Linked DNA regions of Caenorhabditis elegans. The protein of the gene in region 1 interacts with the protein of each later gene in a pairwise test. Each region holds a gene or a part of one and is shown in the gene's direction. Other genes may lie near its edges. The genes, in order: mrpl-24 and ZK899.5.

Region 1 (4,384 bases):
GCCGCAGGAGTAATGACTGCTGCCTCATTCTGGTCCCTTCTCGCGCCAGCTATAGAAATCGCGGAAGCAGATTTTGAAAAATGGGCATTTGTACCTGTTGCTATTGGTTTCGCCGTTGGAGCAGGATTTGTTCACTTGGCTGACACACTTTTGCCATCGTAAGCTAAACTAAATGAACTAAATTACACTTTCTAAATTTTTAAAGATGTGTCGGAGATGCTGGAATGACATCACTTCTCTCTCCACCAACACGTCGATCTGAAACCGAGATGTCACTGATGCAGGCTCGCGAGGATCTTGATGTTGCAGCTCTGGCGCGGTAAGTCCTAATTCTTCTACAGACGCTCGGAATAATTTCCACTTCTAAATTTGTGTAACTGTACGTGTGGTTTTCATTCGTGTGTACCCTTTCATAGTTTTGCCATAAATTAGCCATCGTTCTACTCTAGATCAACCAGTGAATCCGGAGGAGAACTTCGACAACGACACCGGAAATCAGCCGGAAAATCAGAAAATAATAGGTGAGAAATGACGCGTCAACTTTTATTTTTGTTCTTGTTTTCCTGACTTCTCGTGGTAAGACCGGAAATCTATCCAAACTGTGTACGTTCAATTAATTAAATTAATTGTTAAACTGTCCGTTCCATTTTCTGTTTCACTTTATTAATCGCACCTTGGGGTACTTGTGCACTCTGAAAGATGCATGTCATCACGAGAAGTCTTGGAAATTTCAATAAAAATCACTTCAAACACGTCGTTTCGAATCTATTTTTCTGATTTTCTTCTTTTTTCGCTTTTTTTAAAAATATTCGGTTATACTAACACTTAACAAAGAAATCGGATCAAACTCCTCACCCTATGTTTTCTTCGAAATTTAATTATATTTTGTGACATTTCAGATCAGTAAATGAAGAACATCGAGAAAGGGATCGATCTGTTGATATGGGATCCGATAAGCGTCCTGATGTGATTCCAGAAGAAGATTACCGTCAATCATGGAGGCGGATTCTTTTGCTAATTTTAGCTGTAACCGTTCACAATATTCCTGAGGTATTTTTCAACCTTTTTAAACAATTTTTATCATATCTAATTTTCAGGGTCTCGCCGTTGGTGTCGGATTCGGATCAGCAGGAAAAACAAAACAAGCGACTTTTGAATCGGCATTCAATTTAGCTATTGGAATTGGTCTTCAGAATTTCCCAGAAGGACTTGCCGTTTCACTCCCACTTGCAGCATTCGGTCATTCTAAGCTGAAAGTGAGATATCGAATTTTGGAAATAAAACAAGTTAATCAATTTTAGGCATTCTGGTATGGTCAACTATCTGGAATGGTTGAGCCGATTGCTGCTCTATTCGGAGCTGCTGCTGTAATTTTTATGGAACCTGTGCTTCCATATGCCCTGGCGTTTGCGGCTGGAGCCATGATCTACGTGGTTGTCGATGATATTATCCCAGAAGCACAAAGAAATGGAAATGGAAAGCTGGCATCCCTTGGATGTATCATTGGATTCCTCGTGATGATGTGCATGGATGTTGGATTGGGTTAAACTCGGAAACTTGTTCACAACCCCATTACAACAATTTGCGAGTTCATAATGTTTTCTGTGAAAAACTTCATTTTTATTCCAAAATTTTACCATTTTCTGTGATAATTTCTCTTCGTATTACGCATTTTTTTACCGGATTCGAAATCTTCAATGTGCCACGCATTCCTTTCCCCTCTTCATAATAACTCTTATTAACGGTATTCTTTTGCCCCTGCATAATTCATCATTTCTGAAATTTTTAACTTATTTTGTTTTGCACCCTCTCCACCAAAATGCAATATTTTCCCAAATGTGTACATAAAACGGAATTTTGATTTTCGAAACGGATAGTTTATGTTTTTTTGGAATTCAAAGTTTAACAACTTTTGAATACTTTCAAGTGTTTTTCTTGTCATATTCCAAGTCATAATTCCAGATGCTTACTTCTCGTGCACTTCGAATTCCACGTAAACCATTTGTGGATCTTGATTACGCAAGGCATATGCCTTCTGCTTATGTTGAACGAACAAAGCGAACTGTTCCGAGAAAAGTTTTTGGAGATAGGTAAGTTGCTGAATTTTTTTCCAGCAATTCTCTTACAAATTGTAGCTTTTTAGGTTCGGAGCTCCAGATATCAAAATGTACTATGTTCATCCAGATGACTATGTTCCATCACATCGCCGTCCTTGGGAAGACAAACAGATTTCTTCTCATCTACATAGATCGGACAAATATTTCTCGGCTCAGTGAGTGAAAAAATCGGTTTTGGAAGTTTATTTTCCGTTCTGAATTATGTATTTTTGCAGACTTTCCAACCAATACTTCAATCTTCGTCGCCCAAAATCCGAACGAATGGCCGATACAGAGTGGACTTTCTTCCCGGGAGATCTTGTACAAGTGATGGTCGGAAAAGACAAAGGACGGCAAGGACTTGTGCTAACCACTAGCAGAGACTCCAGTGATGTTAGAATTGTGTCTTGTTACCCCAAAAGTTTATTTTTTGTTATAGGTGATCGTTGATGGCTTGCACACAAAGCTCGGTGAGGACATGGAGGGTAGTGAGAAGTTAGGAGTTGATAAAACACTCAGGTTAGGAAGAAATCTCGTGGGAACTTGCAATTAATTTTCAAATTAATACAGGTGGCAAGAGCAACCGTTGTCAGTGTCGAAGAAACAAGTGATGCTGGTCGATCCGAATGATGAACAGCCATGTGAAGCAAGGTAGTCTAACCCAGAAATTCGGAAGACATTTTTTGCAGAAAAACAAGAAAAATTATATCTAGATGGCACAAAAATTTTCAGAAAAAAAATGTTGCAATTTCCAAATTTATAGGGATTAACAATTCTCAAAAAAAAGGTTCCAACGATATGATATCTCTTTTCAGTTAAAAAAAAATTTTTCCCATAATCATCTCAAAAGTTTTAAACATCTTCGTCTTTTCATAAATCAAAAATTTTTCCAAAGAAAAATGCAGTAAATCAAAAATGAAGGAATTAGCATCCTTGGTCTAATCTATTCGTTTGAATAGCAAAATTGGTAATTTATGGAATTTTTCGAAAAAAGGAAGCTAAAATCCTTACGATACATTTCATGAATTTCAGATGGCAATTAAACGGTCCTGGTGATGAGTATATTCGAGTATCAACAAGAAGTGGATATGAAATCCCAATTCCATCTCAAGCTAAAGTTACATATGAATATCTACAGCCAGAAAATTATATTGGTATGTTTCTGAAAGTTTTTAAAATGTTTAACTCATTTCAATTTTAGAAGTCGAAGGAAAAGATACACCAGCTGATGCTGTACTTGAAAGAACCTACATGCCAAAAGTTGCGAGCTTCGAGCAGGAAATTATGGAAGAAATGGGAATCAAGGAGGAAAGAACTCCAAAACCTACTTTCTGGTACTAATTTTTCCTTTTTTTTTTCTTCTGTATTTTGTTATTTTAGAATAGGCTCTTCGTTTAATTTTTCGTTTTTTTTTTAGAAATCTAAATAGATACAATGTTGTTTTTATTATAATCATTCGATCTCGTTTTGGAAAAAAATAAAATTTAAAGAAAATAAAAATTCATTGAGTGAGAAAAACAACTAAAGACTAAACAAACGGGATTATACTTTCACAGAAAATGAGATGGGAATCTAGTTTTCAAACAGAAACAATAGGAATAAAAATATAGAAAAAAACACCGAACATTGTGCTCTATTTCATTATTATTATGTCACAACAAACGCAGTTTTGAGGAGAAATTCGGAAAAAAAAAACAAATAAAGCGCGCAATATATTTCAGAGATTTTCAAGGAATGAGGGGATCATCTATTTGCTGAGTTTTTATTTTTTTAAATTCAAGTTTTTGTGTGTTTCAAAATACAAATATTAAAAGTGCTCATTTTGCTGAAGTGTACAGCTTGTCAATTGGGTTTCCGATGTCTGAAAATAGTTGTTTTTTTCAAAAAGAGTTTGAAGAGAAATTAGCTTACTGGTATGGTGCATTGAACTGAATGCGCTTTCTGACGTTTCAGATCTTCTCGGATGAAACCTGAAAAGCAGAAAATTGAAAAAAAAAATCTTGAAGCTTTATTGCCGTTCTCGCTTTAGGTTTTTCTGTTTAAAAAACCGAAAAACTAAAAATAAATTACATTATCTAGAACCCACGGAAGTGCAAAAATGATTTTCTATCAATGTTTGGCAGGTTTCAGAATTATCTGTGGTAAAAAATTATTTTTTGGTAATCTTAAATACTGCCAAAATTTAACAATCGATCCTTAAAAGGCGTTTTTCGGCAAAGAATGACGGGGCTGTGAGCTTTTTTGCTGATTCTTTTTGCATTTAGCATTCGAAATATTCATCTATGTTC
Region 2 (3,537 bases), on another chromosome or scaffold:
CAATAAGTTATGCTTGAGTAATGATTAAGTTTTACTTGTTTCTCGGAATCAGGTTGTAAGGATCCTTAGGTAAAGATACGAATTAAAATTATAAAATTATAACTAAAATCATTTGAACAAACGCAAATCAATAAAGAAAAAAAAATCGGAGATTTTATTTGACTGTTCAAATTGTTCCCCGCCGTTTTCTTGAAAAATAACTGTTTCTGCTTTTCACTTTTCTATTTTTCGTAAGGGTTTTATCTTCTGAAAAACTGTTTCCAAAAAAATAAAGAATAAACTTTGTCTACCAAGAAAGTGTCCTCTCAACCAGGGCTGCGCGGCAATCGGACAATTTTGGCAATTGCCGAAATTGCCGAAATTGCCGATTGCCGGACATTTTCGGCAATTTTCAAACCTAATTATATTTTGGAAAGTGAAAATGTTCACAGTGTTTTATAGTATTCGATCAGTCATTTTCTTAAATAAAATGGTAAATCATTGTAGGATTAAAACATTTCGAGCTTGAAAAGAGAAAATTGTTCATTGAAATGCCTCTTTAGGCTCGTAAATCTACAAAGAAGTATCAACTTTACATTTCCGGCAATTCTGATTTCCGGCAATCGGCAATTCCCGCAATTGCCGGTTTTCAAAATTCCCGGCAATCGGCAACTTCGGCAATTGCCGGTTTTGTCTTATAAAAAATGGGTTTCAATCAAAGTCAAAAGTGATTTGTACCTACTTCGATCAGAAAATATTACCAATCAATTCGTGACAAAAACTGATGTTTTCTCAAAAAAAATTGCGCATTTACAACAAATAGTTACTTAATTTATCGATAAAAAAGTATACATCAACGAGAAAGAACACTTTTAGTCTGACTTCAATTAGAAATGAGTTACGCGAGATTTGAAAACAATAGTTGTGCTCTGGAAACACAGATAGCGAATATATTTAATTATATGTGATATTCATCTTCAAATTTTGTTTAATTATTGCAAATGTACTAAAAAGTGTATTTGTGTTTAAATCTATTCAAGTAGTTTTTTCACAAACACGGACATGTAAATAGGATTTTTTTAAATGAGCATTTTTGACGCCAAAATCTCATTATAACATGTATCTTAGAATCTTTAAGAAAAATCATGAAATGCAAATGTGAATCGCGTGAACCTTCGATTAATGTTCATTTTTGCTGATTATACGTAAGCTTTCCTTTGAACACTTAGAGGTTCAATACATGCTTCAATATGCCATATCAGTTTTACCTTTTTATTGATAAAATATATATATATATATATATATGTCGCAAACTAACTCTAATACAGATCCTTACTCGATTATCCAATCATGCAAAACAAAATACCCATAATCCCTCCCTTGTGTTTTATTTATTTGATTGTCTTCATTGTCTTTCTTGGTACATTAACAAGTTTCTTATAGTACAGTAGTAGGTTTTGAAAGTATCGTCATTTCGGAAGACAAAGTGTCAATATGACATGTAGCCGATTAGATACTCCGTTCTGTATTTCTATAATTCATTTTCCCCATTTACAATTACCGTAAATCTGTTTGTTGGTAGACTACCATGTGAAATTTCCCACATCGTGATCCAGTATGTGGCAATGTGATGCTCTATGAGACGATATGGGACGCTAAAATGAACAATCGATACCAATATATTGCTGGTAAAAGGGTGGAGCCTACCAGTTTGTGTAAACCAATATAGTCAGTTATTCCTCATTCACTCGTTTTGGAATGTCAGGTTGTGATCTGAAACAGTTTAATCATTGTTCCAAATAATTGACTTTTTTTTAAAAGTTTTCTGTTTGTTTGTTGTATTAGTATCTGTTTCTTTTATTCATAATATTGTTTAAAATCCTAATTTCAGCCCTAATTTGACAATTTTCAGAATGACTCCCGTCACTAGCATTCCTCACAGAATTTTCGACATTTGGAGAACTCCAATAAACATCAACACTTGTCGCAGTTTCTTGAGTAAGCTACAACCTAATCCAATTTCTTGACTAATAGCGTTTCTTCAGATATCCACAAGTTACAGTGCTCAGATTGCAGTTCAAAGTTCGATTCGGAAATCCCATTTATTCAGCATATTGATGAATGTCTCGAAAACGCAAAACGCGATTTGAATGTAAGTCAAATCTTTGTAAAATTAAAATTCAATTGTTTTCTACTTTCAGTATCACATGCACATGCACGGAAATCGTCTTTTAATGATGACTCAACGTGTTTCTGAATTGTATGAAGCATCTGAGTGCAAGAAGTGTGGAATGTGTATGGAACGTTTCAACGAAGAAGCCGAAGTGATTATTCATTCCAAACAATGCACGAACTACAAATCCGAGTACTCAACGTTCATTCAAAATTCAAAAGCTCTATTTGGAAACATGCTTACTTCATATGATAGTCTCTGTAATCTCTTCCAGTACTTTGAAACTGATGAGCGCATCATTCAAATTAGAGAGGATCTAAAGCAGCCATTGCCCGAAGGAGTTATCCCAAATTTGGAGCCTGTTGGACCTGATCTTCATTTCGATGAACTCTCGGAGTACTTCATTGAAAAGTACCAGGATTACATGATTGACGTTTCGAATATGATTGATGTCGTCTTTGTTCGTTATTTGATCAAGAAACAGAAAGATGAAAGAACTGGAAGTATTGTCTACTCTTTCCCAACTAAAAGAATGTCCAGAAGCATTGATCACATGGAAGACGCTACTGACACAGAAACTTCCGATGTTTCAGAGGATGGACAGGTGGAGGAATCTGATTGGGATGAGTATGATTCTGATGAGTTGGACGACGGAGAAGATATCAATAATCAAAGTATGGAGATTGGTTACGCTGCTGATGAGGATCTTAATGAAGAGTCGTTTGAATATGACGAGGAAATGGTTGATGTTGAAGCCATCTAAAACATTGAAACTTGATTAATTTTCACAACTATCTATTGCTAAACTGATAGATATTTAATAATTTCGAAATAGCTCGGAAAAATACTTTTCTGATTTTTTTGTTTCATTTTTGTACCAATTCTAATTTGTTCACTCATCTAATTTGTTCACTCATTGATCTCATCGACGAAATGTTTTTCTTGATTTTCCCTGCTTTATAGTTCTCATCTCAATTATCCAATAAAGTCTCATAAAATGAAATTAACTTGATTTCTTTTAATTAAAATGTTTTCAAAAACTATAGACCGAGGCAAGAGACATGTCACAACAACCTTTTTTTCCAATCCTCTTTTTTTTGGTTTGTGTCAGTAAATTCAGATTGTTCAATGCATTGTTTGGAAAAAAGGAGGATATAACAAATATAACTTTCCAATTATACTGTGTATAATTTGCAAGAGAGGAACAAACAGGAAAACTGCTGACAATTCTACCTAATTTTATTCAACTAATCCAAAGAAACATCAACTAATTATTGCACCTATTTTTTTTTGAAATGTATTGTTGTTTTGAATTTTATTATTCATGTTCAAGTAAGTAATAAAACACAGCTGAATGATATATTTTTAATCCAAATCGGCAACGG

The links.
Region 2: the proteins of mrpl-24 (region 1) and ZK899.5 interact in a two-hybrid assay, tested with the Caenorhabditis elegans proteins (one large-scale study listed by BioGRID).

The regions. Positions count from the first base shown.
Region 1 is NC_003279.8:5,504,602-5,508,985, reverse strand, and holds mrpl-24 (Large ribosomal subunit protein uL24m), read left to right. Parts: upstream 1-1,962; coding exon 1,963-2,090; intron 2,091-2,143; coding exon 2,144-2,272; intron 2,273-2,332; coding exon 2,333-2,489; intron 2,490-2,535; coding exon 2,536-2,615; intron 2,616-2,666; coding exon 2,667-2,747; intron 2,748-3,128; coding exon 3,129-3,250; intron 3,251-3,297; coding exon 3,298-3,437; 3' UTR 3,438-3,595; downstream 3,596-4,384. Other genes in the region: zipt-11 (Zinc transporter ZIP11), read left to right, coding at 1-158, 206-319, 900-1,050, 1,098-1,256, 1,302-1,547; putative MFS-type transporter C09D4.1, read right to left, coding at 3,904-3,957, 4,008-4,066.
Region 2 is NC_003284.9:9,459,289-9,462,825, reverse strand, and holds ZK899.5 (C2H2-type domain-containing protein), read left to right. Parts: upstream 1-1,891; 5' UTR 1,892-1,892; coding exon 1,893-1,977; intron 1,978-2,024; coding exon 2,025-2,131; intron 2,132-2,180; coding exon 2,181-2,915; downstream 2,916-3,537.